2 linked regions of the Lepisosteus oculatus genome follow. The main gene of each other region encodes a partner of the protein of the gene in region 2 in a complex. Links are inferred from orthologs where the notes say so. Each region holds a gene or a part of one and is shown on either strand. Other genes may lie near its edges.

The links. Proteins that work in one complex are often made in the same cells at the same time.
Region 1: sf3a1 (region 2) and sf3b4 share a complex: the UniProt entries of both Homo sapiens proteins name them as parts of the 17S U2 SnRNP complex. The link is inferred for Lepisosteus oculatus from reciprocal best matches to the Homo sapiens genes SF3A1 and SF3B4.

What each region holds. Positions count from the first base shown.
Region 1 is NC_090722.1:2,463,750-2,470,631, reverse strand, and holds the start of sf3b4 (splicing factor 3B subunit 4), read right to left. Parts: upstream 3,004-6,882; 5' UTR 2,940-3,003; coding exon 2,906-2,939; intron 1-2,905. Other genes in the region: RING finger protein 225-like, read left to right, coding at 6,306-6,385. UniProt on the Homo sapiens protein: Component of the 17S U2 SnRNP complex of the spliceosome, a large ribonucleoprotein complex that removes introns from transcribed pre-mRNAs.
Region 2 is NC_090717.1:13,808,386-13,815,884, reverse strand, and holds the start of sf3a1 (splicing factor 3A subunit 1), read right to left. Parts: upstream 3,014-7,499; 5' UTR 2,745-3,013; coding exon 2,697-2,744; intron 2,144-2,696; coding exon 2,034-2,143; intron 1,315-2,033; coding exon 1,101-1,314; intron 579-1,100; coding exon 321-578; intron 1-320. Other genes in the region: ccdc157 (coiled-coil domain-containing protein 157), read left to right, coding at 6,043-6,290, 7,095-7,269. UniProt on the Homo sapiens protein: Component of the 17S U2 SnRNP complex of the spliceosome, a large ribonucleoprotein complex that removes introns from transcribed pre-mRNAs.

The DNA.
Region 1 (6,882 bases), on a different chromosome or scaffold from region 2:
TTTCTCTAGAAACAGTTCTTTGGGACTGGGGGGAGGTCATGTGATTTGACTGGTTTTGTAGGGGTTACAGTGGGGAGGTGAGTTAGCGTGCAGCCTGTGAAAAGACCCAGGAGGAATGCTGACTGATAGCTCTGTGTAACATAGAAGGAGAAATTGAATAGAAAGAGATTGTTGCCAGGCACTCCAAATCTCAGATGAGTTCTTCTTTCCAAAGCTCTCTTCTAAAATGGTGCAAACAGAGCAGGAAGTTGAAAAAGGACAATCTTACTACATGCTCAGGAAAGAGAAGCTCTGCTGCCCTTTCAGCTTCTTTCAATTCATACATCTTTTTTTATCAGTGACAATCATGATGTCTGAATACCTCACTAGGTATTTTTAGCAAATGGCTGATCAGGTCCCCAGCACTAAGAAATTTTACACTGTGTGGCAGTACCAATATTTCGAGGATAATCAGCTACTGCTCATATTTATGGAACAGTTCAGGTGGAGAGCTGCGTCAGCATGCGTAGGCTACAAAGGAACAAGTTTAAGGTTTAGTCCCTGCTGAAAAGAGGAGAAAGAAAACAACGTTTCGGCAGTGGAGCCTTCTTCAGGTGTGAGAATATTTATGGAATTACAGCTGGATCAATATCTATGTACAGACAATATGTACAGCTACAGAATGTATGACCCTCTACCATCTGGAAAACGGTTCCGGAGCATTCGGGCCCGGACTTCCAGACTCAAGAGACAGTTTTGACCCCCGCACTATCAAACTGTTAAACTCCCAGCCTCTCTCACCTACGATCTGAACCTCACAGTGCCTTCTTTCCTACCAAAAACCCAAACACACACTGAAATCTACCTCTACCTCATGTCAAAAGCTTACTCCCCATCATTTCTATCCTTTATTTCATTCTGTTGATGCATGTTTTTGCACATCTGATGTTGTTTTTGCACATTACCTGTTACCTTTTTGTTGTTTTGCACACTGCCTGTTGTCTCTGTCTTTCTTTTGTTATACAATTGTATTGTTGTTGTTGTTGTTGTTTTTCTTTGCACTACTTATCGTCCGAGAGCTAGCTAAATAGCATTTCGTTATACCATATACCTGTATATGAGTATAATGACAATAAACTTGAACTTGACTTGATGCATCACTAACACTTTAAATACAGACGTGTATAAAAATGTAATGTGCAGCACCTGTACAATAAAAAAGTATACAGGTCTAACATCTAAGGTGCAATGTATTCCATACTATGTAGAAAGAATGAAAAGGGGGCAGAGACACATTTTATCACAAATAGCCTTGAATTAAAGTACTTTTCTATCTAGATATAATCTATATGGAAAAGGGATCCCTGTGGATAACCAGCATGGATTTTAAACAGGTAGGTCACGCTTAACTATCTTGAATAAGGTAGGACTTCACAGGTCCTAGAATAAGTAACAGCCGTAACAGACACACAGAAAGACATTTGAATCGTTTCAGATGGGTTTTGATAAAGCTCTTCATAAAAGATTAATTCTCAAATTTCAAGCGGTGAGATTCAAAGGAAATGCACAGACCTGGACTCAGAACTGGTCAATGGATGGGAAACAGCAAACAGCAGAGGCCCACATAAGGAATGACTGCCCCAACTGGAGAGACGTAATGAGTGGGGTACCACCAGGATCTGTATTAGGACCACTCTTCTGCTTTGTATATCAATGATTGAGAGCAGGGGGTGGAAGTGCATTATATAATGGGGAAGGGGCACTTTTTGAGAGTGGAGTTACTTAGCCTACACCACAGTGTCTTTCAAGAAACAGCTGGATGAGACCTCCAGATCAAATATGACAAACCAAAGACAGGAGGGGTCGAAAAACCCTTGTGGGAGTGGAAATGGGTTTTAAAACCCAGTTCAAAACAAAATATTCTTTGGCCGCCACCACTCAGAGCGACTGTGGCCTCCCACGTCCAGGGAAAGGAGACACTGCAAGAAGCAGGAGCCGCTGTTTCATCCGCAGCTGGAATACAAGACCAACACACGGCGACCACCGTGCGTTTCTCCTTTCAACACGAGCTCTTAGACGCAGTTCATTTAAAACTACCGCCCAAACCTTTTGGATATTGGACCTGCGCTACAAGAACATACTGGGTCCCCCCAAACGAACTTGATCCACCGAGACGGAACAGTGCTCTCACGACCCAAAATGACGGGGAGAAAAAATATGTTGTCCAGGGAGGACTTGGGTTATGTATTCAAGAGGCGGTGTTGGTTGAGACTTTCATTTCGGGGATTTTGCAATTCAAAACTCTCGCTGTGACAACTTCCCACGTTCATACAGCCAGATTAGCGAGAGGCCTCGAATAACTAACAGACAGAGCGGAAAACCAGACCAGGACAGCAGATCAGAGACACCTTTTAACGCTCCCAAGAAAACAGTCGCAGACTTTTCGCCCGTTAGCAGATAAAACGCCTTCTTCCCCCTCTTTAAGCGCCTAACCACAGCGAAAGGAACACTGTAAACAACATTCCTCGCCAAAAATACAGAAATGGGACAACCAGGATTTTAAAATAGATGATCTAAGAGAAAGTATTACCTCCCTCTTAAAAAGCCTCCAATCTGCAATCAAGCAATGCATATCCGTGATCCAAAATGTGTTCAATATGATGCTCACTGGATGATGAGAAGTATAATAATTTCTCATTACTACACGATTACAACATTAGACAGGATATCAAACTTTTTAATCCTATAATTCATTGTTCCATTTTAAAACCGAACAGCATGCACACGAAGGACTCCAGCTGGACCGACAACACATCGCCCTTCAACCCTAGTTTCACACAACTCTATTTCCTTTGCTACCTTCTGTTACACTCGCATCCCTTCACCTCCGAGTTACAACATCGTTGAAGGAGTTTCACAGTTTTACCTTGATTTCTTTCAGAGATCGGTCCCGCCGCCATATCGAAGCTTGCGTGCTTGCACGCATCCGACGGAAGTATCCCCCCTTCTCGCCAGGCCAGCACTTCCGCAAAGCGCCGCCACGCCGTCTCTCTTAGCGCCATCTAGCGTTCGGAGGAACGAAGGAAAAGTTTGTTAACAGGGAGGCGAATTAAAATCCTGTAATCTATTTCTGTAAACCTCAAATTGACCCATCCGCGTTCTGTCTGGATCAGTAAAAAGACGTGCAAAATTCGCAAACAAAATCCGGTACTAAACGGCTTGCTTTATTTTCATTCCTATTTCTCACAGTTCGTTAGTGTATTAAATAAATACGGAGATAGAAAACCGGTTTGTGAGGTACGCAATATTTGTGATACACAACCACAGATGTTTATCCAAAGGAAGGGCATGTAGACATTGAGGGTTTTCTGGATTTGTGACATTGCGCGTCGTAAGTTCTCCTATGTGTCTCTAATCAATCTCCCCCCAAAGTATTTTTGGTCTAGTATGCTTGAGATAAATGTATTTATCTTCGAAATGTACAATAAAAGTATATGCCAATCATTTAAAAATTATAACAAGCACCTGCTTCTTTGGTTAAAGAAAGCTAAACCATGCTGATATGCTGACTATTCTCATGCAGGTTTTCATCTTTGCTGTGTGCCCTGTCTTGCTCACACCAGAAGAAGGCTTCACAGCCTAAACATAGTGTTTTCTCTTTTCAGTATGGAATAAACCTCTTACTTGTTCCTTTGTACACCATGCTGGTGATCCCTGTTAAGCACGATCCGACCGTCAGTGGCTGCTAATGTCGTGAGTTTATATATTCAAAAGACAGAATGAGTTGTTAGTTCAATTTTCTCCGTGCTGTGAAACTGCAAGAGCTGATTATAATACTGAACAGGGTAATGTGGCAACATTCTGTGCCAGCAGAGTCCCACTACACAACGAGTGGAGAAGCAAGAAAACGGCTTCACAAATTCGATACGCAGGGAAATTTACGTAGGTAACATTGTTGAAGCCCAAAGTGGGCTTTGGACAGGACATGGTGTTGACAGCCCTACTCTTTTGAAAAGTGCCACAGGATCGTTAATGATCAAGCAGTCAAGACCCCAGCTTAACTCTTATCTGAAGGACGACACCTCCTGCAAGCACAGACCCCTGGTCATTTTACTGCTGCAGGGGTTGGACATTCTCCACCAGAGGAAAGTGCGCCACCTACTGGTTCCAGAGCGCTTTCCAGTGAAGTGTTATTCTTGTATTTGAGAGTTACACAGTTACAGCTTACTTGATTTATTTTCAAGAGATGTTCGTTTTCTTGTTCAGTTCATACCAAGGCATGAAACAATTTACCCTTGGCGAGCTTCAGCACTCCCGTGAGTTGTGCTGAAGTAAACAGGTAATTTCATGTGAACATCCCCAGGTCCATCTCATCTCATCTCATATTGCTGAAGCTGAGTCTGTGGGACCTTTCAAGATGCCGTTGGATGAGATCTGTGGATCAGTTAGCTATTGGCAGCCTTGTAATAACGGTGGTTCCAAAGTTTCCTTTTTTGTAACGTTACCTCTTTGTGTTGCATTCAGACACAGGGCGAGGTACCAAAAAATGCCCAGCTCATTTAATGTGTACAGATGTAAGTTGCTTTGGATCAAAGCATTAGCTGAATGAATTCATGTTAATACTCATGTTAGTGTTTGTAGGTAACCTGCAGTGGGACTAAGGAGGCTGCTGTTCTTTGGCAGCATGGTGGTGCACTGGTTAGCATTGCTGCCTTGTAGCTCTGTGGCCCAGGGTTCAATTCCAGGCCTGGTGTGCAGTCTGTGGGGAGTTTGTATGTTCTTTCTATATTTGCATGGGTTTCCTCTGGGTGCTCTGGTATCCTCACAGTCCAAAAAATAGAGTGGAGGTTTCTCTTGATTCTAGTGTCTCTAAAACCTGTGTCCTGTATTGTGCTTTCACCATGTTCTGATTAAACTACACATTTGATGTATTCTCAGATAGCTTGCCATGAAACTTTATTGGCCATATACAATTTCTTTTAGTAGGAATTTGTCTTTTCGCAGACCCCAGCTTGCTCTCCATGGGCCACACATGGGGGGAGAGAAGCTGGGGGTCAGAGTGCAGGGTCAGCCATTTATACAGCACCCCTGGAGCAGTTGGGGTTAAGGAACTTGCTCAGGGGCCCAACAGAGTAGGATTCCTCTGTCAGCCACAGGATATGAACCAGCAACCTCCCAGCCACAGGTGCAGATCCTAATCCACAGAGACACCACACTGCAATAATGAATAAATACATACATTTGGATAAAAACTCTAAGGTAGTTAATACAGCACAGTATAACAACCTATAACAGGGAGAAACAAAAAAAAATGCTTTGATAATAATAGTCCAGTGGAGAAACAATTTTGTGGCACAATGCGTTTTTTCTAAGATGTGTTATTTTAACATAACCTTTTGTCAACAAACATTAGTGCTGCTTTTGTTTGACTTTAAAGCTTATTTGTCTCCTGCTCTAAACACCTTATCGTCATAGAAGCTTAACAAGTCTAAGGCGTATCTGGGCTCCAAAGCAGACAAAGGCGACTTCTATTTAAGGAGCCAAAAATGGCTTCCAGGCGTTCCAAGCATAACCTGTCCGTGGGTGTACTGGCCTGACTGGATTCCAGCAGAGCAGCTCCTGGCAACCAGTCCTGCATCTGCTGGCCATGACCGGTCAGAACCACGGATAAATCAGAAATTGAGGAGTCAAAAAACGAAAGCAAATGTATTTGCGCAAAAATGGAATGCGCTCTAACCCTAACTAGGGCTCATAGTGTCCTTATTTGCCGAAGACTCAAAGATCAGTCACCTGCTTTAGTTTTGGGGCTTCGTGTTAAGAGTACTATTAAGGTTAGGCTTGTGAAGGTGTGTGAGGCAGTGGCAAAATCGTAAAACCTGTCCCAAGTGCTGTGTTTAAGCTTGAGCGTAGCCCTGAACACCACCGCTTACGCAGGGTAATAAGAAAAGATGAAGACTTCGACAAGCTTGTTTTGCCGGTTAAACCACTTTTTCGGCTCAGGGCGATTCAGATTTCTCATCGGAGATTTCACCAAAAATTACGTCTATTGATTTTCCAAGCAAGTCTGGGGATGTTTGTGTTGTTCTCGGAGCAGACAAGGTTGAATTCTGTGGCAACGTACTTTTGCGGCACCAAACAAAGGCACCGGGGGTCATTTTCATCATTTCACAGCCCACGCTCGGGAATTTCATCAGAAGCAGTCGGTTTGTTTTCGTTTCCTTCTTGGGAAAAAGGCGCTACCGCCTGGGATAGGTGTTGCGCCTCTCCGCTTCCAAGATGCGCCGAGAGTTTCCTCTGAGCCCCCAGCGTCCCCGCGGAAGGAGGCGATGGACCTGCTGATCAGAATCCTGTCGGCGCTGCACCTCGACTGTATTAAAGGGGTCATACCGACCGGCTCTCCGCAGAGGTGTGTGAAAACGGCCACTTGCCAACTTCTGGCCCTTCTGCTACAGCCGCTGCTGTTTCTGCTGCTTGTACTAACAGTTCTGCCTCTTCTACTAATAACACGGAGAAAATATCGGAGAAATAGTTTATTTTGATACTTGGCCCTCGGGCTATGCTGAAGTAATACACTGGTGTTTTCTAGACCTGGCAGAGTCATATGAGTTCATACACCAATACATATTCAAGTATATGTCTAGTACAAGTAACATGGCAAAAAAAAAGCGATTTCCAGTTTAATCGCATTTTTTGTAGTTATGCAGAACAGGAGGAAATCGAAATCCACTTCTTAATGTCAGAAAGGTATTTATAATAGTGACATGTATTTGAACCCAGTTTAACAACTAGGGTAACTAAGATATCCGTCAACGGTCACCTCCATAATGTACTTTTAAAGTGGAAAAAGACCCAAGCAAGTTCATTTCAAAATATCTCTTTCTATATTTCTGTTGCTAAAATTCC
Region 2 (7,499 bases):
CATTAAACAACAGTGAATGGGTCTGTATACGATACATAGCAATGCAAAGGTTTCAGGCTGTGGTGAAAAGATGAGCTTTGAGAAGGTACTGAAAAGGGATGGAAGAAGTATCTTATATATTGTCCATGAAGTAATGAACACCTGGATAGAACTGCTCACACACAGCTTGAGTCCATACTTATGAAAGTGGGCTGCTACAGTACATAATCTATGAAATTATATCACTGACTGTAGTTCCTGTCACTACAACGTCATTAAATACCTTAACAGAAGAAGCATAAAATAAATGTCATAATACAGAAGGAGAGCGCTCCCTCTACCTTGGTGTACTGCTCCACCAGCTTGGTGAAGTAGTTGAAGAGGCTGTGCTGGGGCCGCAGGAAGTCGAACTGGTAGTTGCGCTGCTCCTTCTGCATGAGCTGGGTGAGGAACTGCCGCCCGTTGCGCGCAACAAACTGCGCCGTGAGCTTCACCACATCCAGGTCAAAGGCCGAGATGGAGGGGGGGTCGGCGATGAACTCGTACTCGGGGGGAGGCTCCTTCGGCACCACGGTTTCTTGGATCACCTGCGCTTGCACCTTGCAAAGATGCGAAGCTGTTAGCTGGGCTTGGGAACACCGTTCTGCACTTGTTGCGGTGTATTGGATCGCGTTAAATCAGTAGTCTGTTCAAGCCATAATGTATGGATCAGAAACTAAATAACTTTTAGCCACTTACGGGGCTCATATAAACATATCAATAAATTATCTTTGTTCACTTGGCAAGCTATAGAGATTTGCTCTTCCTGAAAGGGTGAAATGCCTCATAGGATGTGACCATCTGTTCAGTGGTGAAGAAACAACAGCACTTCTGATGCACCTATTAAAAGTCAAGTCCTATAAGTTCCATTTGGTTGCATCACAAACTGACTGACAACACGTTTTTTTGTTCTGCTTTCAAAAACCCATTAAAACGAACCTGCGGAACTCAAGGGACAAGAACAGAACAATCAAAATCCACAACGACTTCGTTCCTTCCGAGCCTCAAGGCCCACTGCGCTTAGTTACAAAGCACGAGGTCGTCTCCGAGTGTGGGGGGCGGAGGGGGTCCCCCGAGCCTACCTTCTGCGGGAGCTGCTGCTGGGGCGCCTGCTGCAGGGCCTGCTGCTGCATGACCTTGGGCACGGCGGCCGAGGGCTCCTGCGCCTTCCCCTCCTTGAACTCGTTGACCTTGTGCCGGTAGTAGGCATGGTAGGGGTCGTTGGGGTTCAGGAAGTTGAACTTGGGGTTGTTGATCTCGTTCTGCCGAATCCTCGCCTCAAACTCCGGTCCGTTTCTGCAAGGGTAGAGGAAAGGAATGGATGCTGGAATCGTAGATGCCCTTACAGGGCGAGTTCAGAAACAACAATGGCTTGCAGCATATTGCACGAGGGTTCAATCAGTGAGCTTGTTATGGTGACGTGACCCCACAGGACACCAACTGTGCTCAAGTCTCCCACGGTGGGAGGCCACTCGTTGAGTGCAGCAGGATTCACTGCGCTGTGCAGCTCAGAGCAGGGAGCAGCTGTAGCTGAGAGACAGCACCTAATTCCCAAGAGGAGCCACATGCATCTATCTTTTCAAGTCAAGTCGTTCAGTTCAGAGTCGCCTGGAACTTCGACAAATGCAGCTATGTTATGGATACCTTCATTAAAGAAAAGAGCAATTTTTGTTTTGCTGAATTCAAAGCTCATGTTCAACTTTGCATTAACTCCAAAATGCATTTTTGTTTGGTTATCTTTGTTTTTGCCATATGGATTTTGTATTGTTCCTCTAAGAATACATCTGCCTTTACAAATGTAATAATCATTTTTTTAAATGGGACCCAGGACCTGGCTCGCTGGGTTCTGTTGTACCTATAGTGAAATCCTCAGAAACACCTCAACACACAATAGAGAACTATTTAGTACATCCATCATGGTTCCAAAATGTGTTTTTTTTTTCTTTTAGAGAATTAAATATAGTGCCACCTGGTGCATCGAGAGAGCTGCCAAGTTATCAGAAGAAACAGCCTACCTGGCTACAAAGCTGGCTGTCTTATCGACGATGTTCCGGACCTCCGGAGGGGGGTAGATGATGCCCACGATGGGCTTGGAAGCCGGCGATTCCTCTTTCGCTTCATCGACCTGTGAAAACAGAACATTAATCCGATACTGAGGGCTACAGGTCACATCCACCGCCTGCAAAGAGACACTGCTGGGTGTAGTTCTTCAATGCATTGTGACACTACACCGCGAAATGTAAAAACAGCGAAATCTCAAAACCCCAAAACACAGGCGGTCAACTTCGCAGCACGCCCGTTCTTGCACAGTTAGAGTTTAGTATTCGTGTGGCTCAACCATCCCAGTATACTATTATCGCGCAGAAGATATTACAATTATCCCCCCGAATTACGGATGACTTCCACAGGTCTACCCAAAAGCACCCGACTTGTTTTACACTGAGAAAAGTTCTTAGCTCAAGGGTAAAACTCCCAGAACATGTATTTGCACTGAGCGCGAATGTAAACCGACAAGTTTCTTTACAGGAATATTAGAAAACAAAACTCTTTGGATCTGAAGTTACTATGGACACGTTGCGTGGACCAGAACACAGTTTTTGTAGCTGTTTTTGTATGTACAGTTTTACCCCGGGTAAACCACGTACTTAGGCCCGCAGCGCTTCGCAGCTACCCGTTACCTTATTGTTGGTTTCCGGCTGCACGATCTGCACCGGTCCGGCAGGCATGGCTGTGCTGGGCCGAAGACAACCCAAACACCCGCGTTTCCGTGTCTTGGTGAATCACTTGCGTCCTCGGACTACTGAATCCAATTTTTCCTTGTATCTTCGATTCGCCGTATTATGGAATCGAACGGAACAGTAATGTTTAAATATAAAAGGCCTCGTTTACAGCCCGCAACGAAGAACTCGTTTCGCGTAACTCTCGTAACCCGGAAACGAAAGGAGCTCCTCTTCCGGAGTGCCCCTCGCTTGGGATTGTGGGAAATGCAGTTCTCTGATGGCCGACTTAATAATAATAATTGCTTACACTAATATTGCGCTTTTCTGGACACTCCACTCAAAGCGCTTTACAGGTAATGGGGATCCCCTCCACCACCAATGTGCAGCATCCACCTGGATGATGCGACGGCAGCTATAGTGCGCCTGAACAAGTAATGTAGCCAAATCATAAAGGGGGATTATTAGGTAAGGTCCAATGGGAAATTTGGCCAGGCCGGGGTTACACCCCTACTCTTTTCGAAAAACGCCCTGAGATTTTTAATGACCACAAAGAGCCAGGATCTCGGTTTTACGTCTCATCCGAAGGACGGCACCTGTTTACAGTGTAGTGTCCCCGTCACTATACTGAGGCATTAGGACCCACATGGACCGCAGGGTGAGCGCCCCCTGCTGGCCCCACTAACACCTCTTCCAGCAGCAGCCTTAGCTTTCCAAGGAGGTCTCCTATCCAGGTACTAACCAGGCTCACACCTGCTTAGCTTCAGTGGGTTGCCAGTTGTGAGTTGCAGGGTGATATGGCTGCTGGACTTGCAAGCAATTGCAATTTCCTGTGTACCACATATTTGAAATATATTTTTCATCTCAGTATCGCCATAGTTTCCACAGCCTTCACTGTTTCTGTCGTTGCTTTTCATTAAATAACAGTTAACTATTTACTGCTCTTCAGTGTGTTTTTGCAAAATTAAAAATAATGTTTACAGTTATTTATGTTTGTCTTAATTTTGTAGGCGCCCTTATCCTGAGCTACCAACCGCACACATATATATATATTAAAAAAATATTAAATGTATACACGTTTACAGAAACAAAAACAAGCGAAAAGCTAACAAAATTAATATTAAGGCCAGTTCAAAATTCCGTGGCACTATAATTCTGAATATAATTATAGGTCGCCTTGGATAAAAAGGCTACGTTATAACTGTTGTCATTCTTAGCAATCAAATAATGTCCGAGCCAGTGCCTCCTGATAAAATGGCTCGACAGCTGGAGTTTCAGATGACGTCATCCTCAGGCGACTTCCTGTCCGTTGTTTCCATGGAAATAGGGGACAACAGATGGAAGCTTGAGGATTTCAAGAGCATAACGATCAAATAAAACAGGGACGTTTCGCTGTATTTCATCGAACTGAAAACAGAAGAGCAAAAACACGAAAGCTCTAGCAATGACCATAGAGTAAGGACAAGTAAGTGTTTCTTGATGTATCATCTGATTTTTTACTGTGTGTCGGCAGCAGGAGCATGATTTCTGCAAGTGCATTGGCTTGTCTGCTTTTTTTCTTTTTTGGTGACTTCGAGAGCGATGGTCACCAAGCTGAATGTTGAACGGAGAGCTGTGACTTACTGTAAATCTCTGAAGACTGCCGACTCAAGTGTCAGCCCTGTTTCTAATGACTCCAGTGTGTGCTGAGTTTTGTTCGGTCTGATTTTGTGATTATTTAATTTACCCCACATTTAACCAGGAGACTACTTCCACAACCCTTTGCGTAGTGAAGGGCCTCCAGTTCTCAGTTTTAAATGCATGTAGGCTCCACTTGTGCCCTTGGGTTTAATTCACATTTCACTGTTCCTTCTAGGTTTTTTGATAGTCTTCAGAACTGCAGCTCTGGGGTTTTCAATTTACCATTCGAAACTTGTAAGTAATCTGAAAATGATACTTTTTTAGAGCATGTTAAAGGAGGAAACTTCAGTTATACTTATACTCTAATGAAGCAATCACATGTATATAAAGGGGTCACAAGAGCCTGAGGAGTGTAATCCTGGTAAGTAACTCTACTCTTAATGGATTTTGTGATTATTATTTATATTAATTAATTTGTTAGCTCTTCTTAACAATACGTTGCTTTACAGTACATTCAACTGAGTCATGCCATGACTGTATTCAATTTCAATCCACCACACTAATATGCGATAGCAGCCAGAAGGTTTTGATTCAACAATACAGTTTCATAGTTGTACTCTATTATCGACTCAACTTGTTATAGTAGGTCCTGCCTAAATAAATGCCTTATTTAGTTTTGTCAGATATGTCTATTGTGCCTTTGTTTTGTTTTGTGTGTTTTGGTCTGATGTCTTTTCTGGCTTTCATTTCAGCTTTGCTCTTTGTCATTGAGGCTACATTGAACTAACAATTGTCTCATTAAGACATTTCCAATCGTTTTGAGCACTTAGGGACACAGCTCAAGTATTCAGTTAAGTAATGCAAAACTGAGTTAGTCAAACCCAGAAGACACAGGTGCTCTTTGCAACCATGACTAAAACCACTTAATTAGACGGTCAGGTATTTTTATTAAAACAAAAGCCTTGTACTCTTTCACAGCAGTGCTTCCCAAATCAGTACTGCAGCCCTTGCCCCTCTCCCATCAAGCCTATCTGTATTGATGATCATTGATGCATTTTGATATTTAAACTCCTAAACATTGTGGAGAATGCACTAGTACAGTGATTCTGTCTCTTGGCCCTGGCAAGCTATAAGGTCCTCTGGTTTCCATTCCTCACTGACTGCTTAATGACAATCAATCAATTAAGAAAAACGCAATTAATTGGTCTTAATTACAATTGTTTCCAAGCCTTTAGTAATAGAAGAGTTTGTTTTTCCCATAAAACCTACAGGCTCCTGTCTAGATCCAATTTCAGTACTCCTCTAGGGCCTGGATTGCAAATTATTACAGTAGTCATGATGCATTAAGTAGCATAGATTTAAAAATGAGAAGATTATTGTTGGGTTAGAAAAATCGAAAGGGATCAAAATAGCGTTTAATAAGAGTTAGGGAGGTAGAAGTTCCAGCAGGGAGCTGCGTCGGCTTGCGCAGGCTGCAGAGTAACAGGTAAAGGGTTATTCCTGCTGAAAGGAAAAGAAAACAGAAAAAAGACCCGTCTTCAGTTGTCAAGGGTGTTAGGGAAGTAGCGCTGAAGACCATGAGGCTGTGGAGGTCTGGGCTGTTGTGTGCATCTCAGCACTCGGTCTCAGCTGGCAAACGCTTCTTCGAAGGGTTGGAGAGCGACAGCAGACTGGGAGGCTGGGGAAGATGAGCCACCTGCTGGGCCGGCAGGACTGCGTGGACAGCCTGCGGAGGGACCTGACTGACCTCCAGGGCACGGTCCTGGATGTGTTCTCCCGCACCGGCCCGATCCGCAGTCCCTCCTGGAAGTTCCCCGACAAGCTGTCCTGTAACCTAGACCTGGTGACCCTCCTGGAGCAGTATGACTTTGTGGAGGGTGAGGAGGAGTTCAACCAGCACTCCCATATCGTGCTGCTGGAGCTGGTTGTGGACAGGTAAGGTTCTGTTCCTTCTACTTCATGTCCACACAGTATTTACTAAGCCTTTATGAATAACCCACACACTTAGTTGAGAAAGTGAGAGCTCAAATAAACGCAAAGTGTTGTCTTCCTGCTTCTTGTACTGGGTGGCAGCAGTGAGTTGCCTTTGATAGAAAAAGTGTGGCTTTCAAATTGGAAACAGACTAATTTTGAGTTTAATACGAAGCAATCCCTATGAAAAGTGAAAACCTTCGGTGAATTTGAAATTAATTCTGTTCCCCCACCTTTGTTTTAAGTAAGTACTTTATGTTTCTACAATTTCAACTGAATATTTACGATACTAATGTAGCTCAGTACAATGGAGGCCCAGTACAAGATTGCTGAGGTGTCCCTCTTGATCTTTGTCCTTGTAATACATTTTAAATCTGTATCAATAACAAATGTAATAAATAATAACATTTGACTTTTTCAAAACAATATCTGAAGGTGGTATTACTGCTTTATTAGCACATTACTTTCCTAACTTACCAAATGATTGTAGTGTAAAAAATGTGATTTTGAGGTGTCTTTGCAGTACCCCAATAAGCTCAGAGCCCTGCTGCTGCTCTGTCTGATTGTTTCTCTCTCAGCAGGGGATATTACTCCTTTAACAGTGTTCATCTCAGCAATCATGTGAAAGAAACAAAAAAAGCATCAGAGCACTGAAAAAGCAAGAACTCAACATCTGTTGCCAAGTGTCAGCCCGTGTCTGCTGGTGTGTGTTGTAGGCGTGATGGTGTGAGTTCCACTTACAGGCAGTGATGTTGTCTGTGCTGCCAGGCTGGTGCTGCTGCTGCAGAGTTTCAGTGGCTTCACCGAGGGCATGCTGGGAGGACACAGGAGCGGTTCCCAGACTGGGGCAGCTGGGCCCTCCACGTCCATTGGACTGGCAGTCAGATGCTGCTGGAACAACCTTCTCAAACTAGGGACCCTTCATCAATGCACACTCCGACAGGTCACTGATAAGAATTGCATTAATGATTTATTTAGTCATATTTCTGAAAAACGTTACAAAATGTCTTAGTTCTTGAAATCTACAAACAGTACTCAGTTAGAGAAATATATTGTAAGGATATTGAAATCTGAATTGTTGAGAGAAGGTAAAAGATGTGAAAAAGATTTATAGTGCTTATGCCTCATATTCATCTTTTCATCTCAAATCTGATTTGCAAAAACCAAAAATAG